Linked DNA regions of Ovis aries. The protein of the gene in region 1 purifies or fractionates together with the protein of each later gene. This does not show direct contact. Links are inferred from orthologs where the notes say so. Each region holds a gene or a part of one and is shown on either strand. Other genes may lie near its edges.

Region 1 (5,734 bases):
CCCAGTGCAGGAACTTAGTTAGAAAGGATGTGAACTTTAGTTGATTTGAGCTCCTGGATTGAATTAGTCCTGGTTGCATAATTGACTTTGATATGTGGCCTTTGGATCTGAATTGGGTTTAATAAGATTTAACTGCTTCAAAGGGCTTTATAAGAATTCATTTTATCCTTCAAATCTGATTTCAAATGCTACCTACTTTGAGCCGCCTTCTCTGACTTTGGTTCTCCTCCAGCACGCCTCTTGTGCCAGTTGATACATACCTTATTCAAGCAATTACCTACATTGTATTTTATCTTATCCTGTGGGAAATGGTTCCTTTGTTGCCTTGCTTCAGGAATCTTTCAGTTCAGTTCAGTCAGTTCAGTTGCTCAGTCCTGTCCGACTCTTTGCAACCCCCATGGACTGCAGCATACCAGGCTTCCCTGTCCTTCCCCAACTCCCAGAGCTTGCTCCAACTCATGCCTATCAAGCCGGTGATGCCATCCAACCATCTCATCCTCTGTCATCCTCTTCTCCTCTTGCCTTCAATGTTTCCCAGCCTCAACCTCTTTTCTAATGAGTCAGTTCCTTGCATCAGGTGGCCAGTGTTGAGGGTTATGCATATATCTTATTCATATTTGTATCCCAGGCCTAGCACAGACCAGGAACACATTCATATGAGTGTGCTCAATAATGATTTTTTAAGGTATATTAACAGATAACATTTAGCAAGCACTGTGGCAAACCCTATGTCTGCAATGTTTCATCCACCAGACACTTTAGGAGGAAAGTACTTTTATTATCCCTATTTCACAATGAGAAAATTGAGAGCAGGAGAAATTAATTTGATCTAAAGTCAAATTTGATCCAAGATCAACTAGTAAGTGGCAGAACTCCTCCTGTAGGTTTTTGGCTTCAATATCTGAGGTCTTCACTACCATATATGAATCAATACAGGAGGAAGGCTTTCCAATCTGTGGCTGAATAAGGGGCATAGAAGAATCCACCATCATTTTACAGAGGCAACTAAGATGAAAAATTATGGTAAAGTCCTAACTCGATGATGTCTCCAATTTTTTGAATCACCTTTACTTCTTCCTCCCTCCCTTCTCCCCTCTTCCCTTCTTTTCCCCTCGCTGCTCTCTTTCCTTTCCATCTCTCTCTCTCTCCCCTTCTCTCCCTTCTAAAACTTAGGAAAAACGTCTTGAGTTCCTACTTTGAAGTATGATCCAATCAAGAACTGTAATGTTTTTTGGGAACGGAACGAATATTTTATTTGGCTCCTACTTCTTTCCATTCAGTCGCAAATTCACAAATATCAAGCACCTACTGTGTGCTAGGAACCTTTTTGAGACACTGGAGACGCAGCGGTAAAGCAAAGTAAGTGCGGGTTCTCACGGAGAGATCACTGTCAGTGGGCATTTTACATACACTTGGGTCACTTACTCCTCACAATAACCACACGAGGTAATGATGACAGCAGTAATAGACAACTCTAAGCAGTGTTTATCTGTGCTGGGCACTGGGCTTACCTACGTGTTTTCTTTGTATTAACTCATTTACCACAACAACCCGTGAGGGAGACATGTCTTCCTCATTTCACAGATGAGTAAACTGGAACGCAGGTAAGTGATCTGCTCAAAGTTCGAACTCAGGCAGTGTCACTCTAACTCCCGGGCTGTGAACCACAAGGCTATACTGTTTCATTTATGTTTCCTTCATAATATTCCAACTTTCGAGCGGCCGAGTCCGGTCTCAGAGGATCTGACGCCCAAGCCCAGGGGTTTGTGCCGCACCCCAACGGCCTTGAGGAATAAGTGAGATTGGCTTGGAATTTTTGCAGTACTTTTCTCTTCCACAGAATCCAAACTGATTTCAACGTAATTCTCAGATTTGTGATTTGAACCCTCTGGTACTGTCAGTTGCCCGGTAAGGAGAGAGAGAGAGGGCCAGGGCCCGGGTCATCGCACACTGGCCGGGGCACCCAGCAGATGGCGCTGTCTCGGTGGCCAACAGCCGGCTGCCCCGTCCCCCGGGGCTCAGCGCCTCCGCTTGAAAGCTTCCCGGCCCTCTCTCACTCCCTTCTCGCTCCCCCTCCCCACGGAGCCTGGGCCCACGTGACCTCGAGGCGGCCAATGGGCGAGCAGAGAGGGCGAGCTGGTCCCTGTGGCCGCCATTAAAGCGAAGGGAAAACCCGTGAATTCGGATTAAAGGGGGAAAAACACCGCCCGCTGGGCCCACAAAATGGGGGAGACTACGGCGTCCCGGCGGTGAGGCCGCAGGAGAGCGGACGTTAGGCCGGTCTGGCTCAGGGACGACACGAAGACACAGCCAGAGAATGGTCTGAGCCCGCAGACGCCGCCACCAACCTCCGCCACTGAGGAGACTCTGGGCTTAAGGACATCGCCGCCGCCGGGCCGGGGGCCTGGGCTTCTCTCCCGGCTCTCGCCCTTCCCGCCCCTCTGCGGGCGCCTCTCCGCCCCGGGAGCAGCCTCCGGGGCTCGGGCTCTGCCCTCTCGGACTCGTTTTTAATTATTTATTCTGTAATTTATTATTTTTTTCTGGTGGCAGGGGCACACATCCCCTCCGTCCCCCGAAGAGGGACGAGCGTCCGCGGGCTCCGCGGCGGCCGCAGCCCGGCCGGCGGGGCGAGCGCGGCGCGGCCCTCCCGCCTCCGGCCCTCGGCCCCGGGCGGCTGGGTGCCGGCCGGGCGGCGGGGGCTGCTCGCGGCGGCGGGGGGGTGGGTGGGGAGGGCGGGCGGCCCGGCGGCCTCCTCTTCCACCGCCCCCCCAACCACCACCCCCCCGCCCTCCCCGGTGTCTGTTTCTCTCTCTGGTCGGAGGCGGCGGTAATGGCGGATGGTGGGTTGTGGCGCCGGCGGCGGCTGCTGTGAGGGACGATGAGTTCCTCCTTCGTGCCGAACGGGGCCAGCCTGGAAGATTGTCACTGTAACCTCTTCTGCCTGGTGAGTGCCGGGCGGGGGCCGCGGCGGGCGGGCGGTGGGGGAGGGGCCGCGAGGTGCGCCCTTGGGCCGTGGGGGAGGGGGTCCGGGTCGGATCCAGATGCCCGAGTCCCCGGGCGAGGCCCGGCCCGAGCCGGCGCCGCGGGAGCCCCGCGCCGGCCCGGAGCCGCCGGCCCGGGCTGCCCTAGGAGCGTCGGCCTTTTCTCCCGTTTCCGACACTTTTCTCGCCCGCGGTCCTGTCTCCCAACTTGGGCTCCTTTCCTGGCAGGACAGCGGCATTTCCCTCCTGTGTTGCTGGCTTAACTGTTGCTTGTCTCCTTATTGACCGTGTATCCCTTTTCTGCCACTTTCTATTATTGCCCATTCTCTCCCACTGCCTGGCTCTGCTCCTCTTATTTTCCCCCGATAAACGAGACCCCGGAACTTAGCACTCTTTTAATTTTACGTGCTTGTTCTTTATAAAGATGAGCCAAACTGTAGGGGGTTCGTTTGTTCCTTGGGTGACTTCAGACTCTTAAAAAAACAGTGAATGCCATTCCGTAGTTTTTCTTTTAAACTTTGAAAGCAGTTGGAGATTTTGACAGTCTCTAGCCGACTTGCTTTTATTAGAACATTAGGTTTGTGAGAGTGGAGCGAACTTATGGAAGAGATGCTATGGTTCTGGACTAAATATTTTTATACAGAAGGCTGCTCCTCTTATTGAAAAGTCAAGGGGAAGCTGGCTCTACGGATGGCAGTTGTGTTGGTTGGCCCCGGTCTGGGAACATCTGAATAAAGACTTTAAAAAGTACCAACTGTTGCAAATACTCAGTCTGCAGTTGGATAGGAGCTTAGCTTCATCAATGATTTGAAGTTTCGGTAACTTTCTTTTTTTCATTTTCCCTGTCCTATGAGGAATATTAAGAGTGTGTGATAGGTAAGTGAATTGAGTGGGCGGAGCACAACTAGTTGGCAAGTGTAAACTGCCAGTCATGTATCAGCAGTTTCATTTTTGGCACCTTAAGCTTGCACTTTTAAGTTAGATTAAAAAATTACTGAATTCATGCTGATAATTTCTTTTACGATACTAAATTGAGATCTTGAATGCCTTTCCCCCTTATAAAATGTTTCTTGTACAATATCCATTAATCAGCATCTCTTCAGATATAGTAGACAAACAGCAGGTTTTACATTTCTGTCTTCTCCAACTCAGTCTATTTTTGGTACTTTTAGGATCGGGTTCTTTGAAGATAAGACTAGCACAAATCTGACAGTTCTTTGTGAGCAGCTATTTGACTTTTCCTTAAAGAGATATATATGTAAAGATTTAACAAGAATGTTTTCATTTGTAGTTGAGATTTCTTTTCCTTAAAGCTGTGACGTCTGTAAACATGGAATGATGAATCTTTAAAAGTTAATTTTGTAGTAAGTTTGATACCAAGAAACAAATGTAACCAGTAAGAACAGAATTTAGGACTGAGAGCAAATGTTTACTCAGTGTGCAGTATTAAAGTCTGTGTTTATATTTAACATTATTAAAGCTTTTTAATTTATCCTTGGGACACATTTATTGACTTGTATTCAGTGACATGTCAGTATTAATTTTTTCAGTGTCTGTTCTTTTCCTTTAATTTTTGGTTGTTGAATTATCAGAATAAACTCCCCCCCCCCTTTCTTTTTTGGTCAGTTTGTTTTCAGTATCTCAAGGATATGTTGAAAAATTGTAATGTCTTAATGAAATAGGGGACTTTAATAGTGAGGACTTTCGATTTTGAGTGAATATGCAATAATAAAAAAATCATACTTTGTTTTCCTCAGGCTGACTTGACGGGAATTAAATGGAAGAGATACGTGTGGCAAGGCCCAACTTCTGCCCCTATTCTGTTTCCGGTGACAGAGGAAGACCCCATTTTGAGCAGTTTTAGTCGCTGCCTTAAGGCAGATGTACTTGGTGTTTGGCGGCGTGATCAGAGACCTGGAAGAAGAGAATTGTGGATATTTTGGTGGGGTGAAGACCCCAATTTTGCTGACCTAATTCACCATGACTTATCAGGTGAAAGCAGCTTATCATTTCTAACTTAAAGATATAGCAATGTTGTATACTTTTCCTAAAAACATTTGTATTACAAATGGAGATTTTTTTGGTGGAACATTTGTTTACTGTGAAACCAGACAAAAATTCAGCTTCATGTTTTATTTCACTGCGGTTATTTTATTTTACTGAAAATTATGCATTTTATGGCAGGTTTTTTGAGCCTCGAATAACTATTCTTTCTTCCACCTCCCAGCTTTCTCATGAATTTCTGGCAGACAGCCCAAGGAAGGCATGTTAGTAAATAAAATTAAGAAAAATGGAATTGGGGAGCATTTCCTAACAAAGTCAAAAAATACTTTTGAAACCATGTGTAACTCATCTTTGAGTCAATTCTGCTACTACTCTCTTCTGTGTAAATAAGCACACAGTTGTAGAAATATCTGGAAATATTGTAACTTTCTCATGTGCTTTTTTTCCCCCCTAGGCATATAGTTTTTTCAGTATTTTTATTTGTGGTTGTTACATTATTAACAAATCAAGGCTTATGTTAATTTTCTTATTCTTGGAATGTGATTCTTTTATTTTAGGTACTGTTCCATCAAAGACTGTCTTTGATATGAAACAGTGCCAACTTGTTTAGCTTTTACAGTGGGACATGTGTCATAATCTGAAAAGTTAGGGAAGTAATTTTATTATGAGCAAATTGATAAGATTACTTCTGTCTTATTTTCTTGATATTTAGGACCAAATGTTACTTTCAAAAGAGAAACTATAATTCT
Region 2 (5,076 bases), on another chromosome or scaffold:
ATCTAAGGAATAATCAGTAGTTCAATAGTATACTGTATGTGAGAGATTATAGGGATATAGGAGAAAAATTTTTAAGGCAGCTAGAGGTATACCTGACAAGACCTCAGAAGCCAAAAAAGGAATGAGAGCTTTAGTCTCTTAGCAGTGAGGAACTATTTCAAAGTTCCTGAGCAGGGACTGAGTAATTATTCTGAAGGTCTACAGTGGACTGGAAGGGAAAAGGATGGCTGACAAGGAGACAAGAGGCTAGCACCATCCTACAAGAAAACGATAGGAAAGGCCTGAACTAGGAACGAGGCATAGGAATAGCAGCAGATGAATGGAAGAGAGACTTCAGTGGGGAAACTGACCGGACTAGACAGGCTCCAGATGTGGAGTACAAGGGTCTGCAAGTGGTAAAAGAAGTATCTCGGCTAGAAGGAGGGTTGTACCATCACCAGGATGTCTATGAGTGTTAGTTGCTCAGTGTGTCTGACTCTGCAACCCCATGGACTGTAGCCCACTAGGCTCCTCTGTCAATGAAATTCTCCAGGCAAGAAGACTGGAGTGCGTAGCCTTTCCTTCTCCAGGGGCTCTTCCCAATCCAGGGATCCAACCCGGATCTCCTGCATTGCGGGCAGATTCTTTACCATCTGAAGCACCAGGGAAGTCCCCATCACCAGGATAGAGGACTAAAAGCAGTAGCGAGTTTGGGTGGGAGAAAACTGAGTCCTGGCTATGCCAGGTTTTAGTACTACTGGACATGCAGGCAGTGCCATCACAAGTAAAATGTGTCAAACTATCTTACTTAGAAAAAATATGAAATTTTACAAAAAAAGAGTTGAGATTAATCTTCATTAAAGCTACAGTTCATGGGGTTGCAAAGAGTGGGACATGACTGAGCAACTAACACACTAATGACACATCCTACTTAGAAGAAATACACAATTTTATGAAAAGAAGAGTTGAGATTAACGTTCAGTAAAGGATTCTGATAAATGATTCAAACACGAATATGACCTCAAGAATATAACTCACAAGGCTATATTAAGTAGCAAATTAAAATCTAAAACCATTTATGAAGGAGGGTTTGACCTAGAACTTCATGTACCCAAGAATTATTTTCATACATGCTGATTCACAGGTAATAGTAAAGCAGATATGTGGAATGCAATGAGAACCTCAGTTTAAAATTATGAGGTGAAATGCTTCTGTTGAAATGGTAAATGCAGCTCTGTGCTGTCCTTTGGCCCCAATTTAACTTAAATGCCATATCACGAGATGCTCAAGTCGGAAGACTAGGCCTAACTGACAAGGTAGCATTCCTTTCTATAATAAATACTTCCCCTCAGTTAAAAGAACTGAGTCGACCTAGATTTATCCCTACTATATCCCTAGAATCTCCAAAAGCCTAAGCAAAATAAAAGTTCCAATTATAAACTCAAGGGTATTACAGCTATTCAGCACCCATATTTCTTAAGAACAAACAAAAGAATTTCATCAACATAAACTAAAATAATAACAATGAAAAGATGTATAACATATAATTTGATATTAATAAATTTTTGTTATGTGTGTGCTGAGTAAAAAAGTAAAATCAAATATTTGAATTGTGGTTAATATGCCTAATAAGTATATTGCCTCTGTTAGATTTATTCATTTACTTAATTCTACTTACTGAATGCAATGTCATTATTTCAGTTCAGCTTTGAAAACAATAAGAACTCAGTCTTTAATCATCAACATTTTTACGAACAGTAAGCAAAATTATGAAAAACAAAATGGATTACAAGGTATTTGTTTTACGTACAGCCATCTCATTAAGATTATGCAGGTCATTTGTTAAAAACCACATTGACACTTAACAGTTGTGTGTAAATGCAAGGAAAGAACATACGCTAAAAGTTAATAATGGTACTCTTTTGATCATAGGCTTATGGGTGATTTTTATTTCCTTCTTTTTGCTTACGTGCATTTTCAAATTTTTCTATAATTAATGTTCATCATAACTGTACCAAGAAGAAAAGTTATTTTTACAAGGAGAGAACAAAACACTGATCAATTTAAAAGAAACATACTTACCAGATCTCTGTGAAGCACCCAATTTGCATGGAGGTAATGGATCCCATCAAGAATCTGGTAAAGTAATGATTTAACCATAGATCTTGGCAACTGCATGGGCTTTTTATTTGCTTTTGATGCACGGTGAAACTTAATAATATGCTAAAAATTAGAAAATATATATTAGAATAACATAGTCTTTGCCTGTGTCAACAAAACACAATAAAGGCTGCAATAAGTACATTTTAAAATTACTTATTAAAGGCCAATAATGACACAAAGAAAAATAAATAATAAGCTCAAACCAAAACAGAATCTATATTGAAGGTGAATGTGACATTATTAATGTGGTTGTTGTGATGACTTACTGAAACCATTAAGATTTGCATTAAGTAAAACCAAGAAGTAAAAAGGGTTTATAATTTAAAACCTGCCTTAAAATAGCATTAATTGTATTCTCTACTGACAGAAGGAAAAGGGGAAAAAAAGTCTGTAAATCTTTACTGTTCTATAAAATAAAGTTAGTACTTAGTGCATTTGGGTAACATTACTGACTGCATGTATATCAGAATTATTGGAAAGCTCCACCTTCTTTTGTCACATAATGAAATTAGGATATAGCCTGAGTAGTCAATAGTAAATAGCAGTCACTAGACACAAGCAGGAAGAGAAAAATGGGGAATTCAACTGCACTGAAATAAATATAAATTGGATCATCATATCCAAATTTTTATGCACATGTTATACTGTGGGAGGGGAAGAAATTCCACCTGCCCCCTGCACTCCCACATCCACCTCCATCTCCATCCAACATTTGCCCAAAACATGCCAACATGGGTACTAGATATTCGTGACAGAAGAGGTTCTTGTCAAGATCTGCTATAAGGACATTTCTTTCAAGGCCTATTAGTCTGTTAAAGTTATTTTTGAAAAGAGTTATAATTTATATAAATGACAAACCACATTCTATTGAATCAAAATTTAATTATCTGAAGTTTGAACTTATTGCCAAGTTTGAATTTGTTTTTTACTTTTGGGAGCTCCTGGGATAAAATGTTTAAATGACTTGATTCCTAACTTTAAACATGTGAAATTAGAATTTTTGGCTTCTTTTATTTATTGTTTTAAAAAAATCCCTAATGTTTGCAGACCTGTACATATTTGTTTGGTGGAGTGAATTTTAAATGGCAAAATGCTGCAAGAGAGGACCTTCACTTAGAGAGGAAAACGATTCACAAGCACATAACTGTTAAATATGAACAGTTAAATATGTGTGCAGTGCAAAAGAAAGTAATTTCCCTAGAACATATTAGGAAACTGCCATTAACTACCTAAAACTACAATCTCCCACTCAGGAACATTTTTTGAAGTGAAATTTCTGAATGTGACAAATACTATAAAACAGGATGTTCATGTTTATTACTCTAATTCTTTTAAATCAAAATTTACCTTTAGAATATTTATTTTGAAACTATGGTCAACAGAGCAAGTTTTCCTTGCTGTACATTAGCAGTATGGAGCACATACATTTATTCTTCATACCTATATAAAATTATTATCCTAAAAATAAAGTGAGTTTAGACTTACCCATAAATCGTGTTCTGCATAATCAAACAGCAGCCACACCTTCCTGTCACTGTGAGAAAGGAACACCTTCTGCAGGGCGATCACATTAGGGTGCTTCAATTCTCGCAAAAGCTGAAGGCAAGAGGAAGAGAAGGGTCACTATTCTGTTAGCAGAGAGTAATGCACTTCCCATAACTTCAAAAGGAAATTTTTGAAAATTTAGCCAATACAGATAACTAGTGTTTAAGGAAAAAAAAAAAAAAAAAAAAAACAACCCGACCACCCAAATACCATAACTTAGAGATAAACTCTGTCCACATCTTGGTACATCTCTTTCCAATCCTTCCTCTGTAATATGTATGTTGGGAAAACGGGATCCTTTTACATGGTAAGATGTAAAATAGTAAACAAAAATAATACCATATTGCTAAATAATGAAGTGTATTTTGGCATGTGTGTAATTTTTTTTTTTTTTGACTAGAGGAAAAGCTTCTAGGGAAGCAGGAATACTGTTTATATCCACTCCAACATAGTATGTGCTCAATTTGACAAAAGGCGGAAAGATGTTTAACAATCCCTAGCTAATTTACCCATGCCAAGAGCCTGAGACAGGTTTTTCAGAAGAGTAGAGAGCATAACAGAATGAGTCTCACACCCACTGATAAAACTGGTATAGAAAAGAGGCCCTATAAAAAGAGAAAAGACTAGGCCTTTCACAAAGCAGAAGCTTCAAGCTGGACTCTGATAATAAGAAGGAAAGATAGACCATATCAGCAAGTGAAAACTTAGTTCTTGGCCCATAACAGGCAGTTGCTTGATAAAATATTAAGCAACAATAACATTAGCTGCTCAAGGTGGAAGTCTTCTAAATATGCCCGCCTCACACCGTCCTTAACCAGGGTTCAGACTTAATAGGTATAAACACACTCAATTTGTTAAATACTTCAAATGCCTTTTAAATGTAAAGCTCCGTGGAAAATACACAAAGGAAGAGGGGACAAAGCTTGTACTGAATAATTTCTATGTGCAAGGTGATTTTATGTACTTGTTTTTTCTCTCACTTAATCCTTCCAACAACCCTACGATGCACACAGAAGCTCGGGTTCAGTGTTAAAAAGTAACTTGACCAAAGTCAAACACTAGAAAGAGAAGAGGTTTGGATTTAAATAGTTCTGCCTGATTCCAAAGTCCATGCTTTTTCCAGTTCAGATAAAGTCCTTGTCATCTGTTCCCACAATGCAGAAGGGAAGACAGACATACAAACAGATGAACGAGGCAGAGAAAAATATTAAATTAGAGAGTTTGACTTTATTAAATGTCTATCCAGAATATGTCCTCTTTCCTGCCTGCAGGGGAAGGAAAGGTAAAACTCACTTCTACACCTAAACCAAGCTCCCAAAACACCAAACACTGGCACAGACCCCTGAACCCTGGACTCCACCTGTCTGGGAGAGGGCATGTCACACGTAG

What was found. The genes of interacting proteins can lie anywhere in the genome.
Region 2: the proteins of MED13 (region 1) and CDK19 purify together in Homo sapiens (affinity purification with mass spectrometry; 6 studies listed by BioGRID and IntAct, counting the BioPlex papers as one, with this or other methods). This does not show direct contact. The link is inferred for Ovis aries from reciprocal best matches to the Homo sapiens genes MED13 and CDK19.

Annotation. Positions count from the first base shown.
Region 1 is NC_056064.1:10,737,030-10,742,763, forward strand, and holds the start of MED13 (mediator of RNA polymerase II transcription subunit 13), read left to right. Parts: upstream 1-2,145; 5' UTR 2,146-2,878; coding exon 2,879-2,944; intron 2,945-4,738; coding exon 4,739-4,973; intron 4,974-5,734. UniProt on the Homo sapiens protein: Component of the Mediator complex, a coactivator involved in the regulated transcription of nearly all RNA polymerase II-dependent genes.
Region 2 is NC_056061.1:26,908,045-26,913,120, reverse strand, and holds part of CDK19 (cyclin-dependent kinase 19), read right to left. Parts: intron 3,739-5,076; coding exon 3,628-3,738; intron 2,203-3,627; coding exon 2,062-2,202; intron 1-2,061.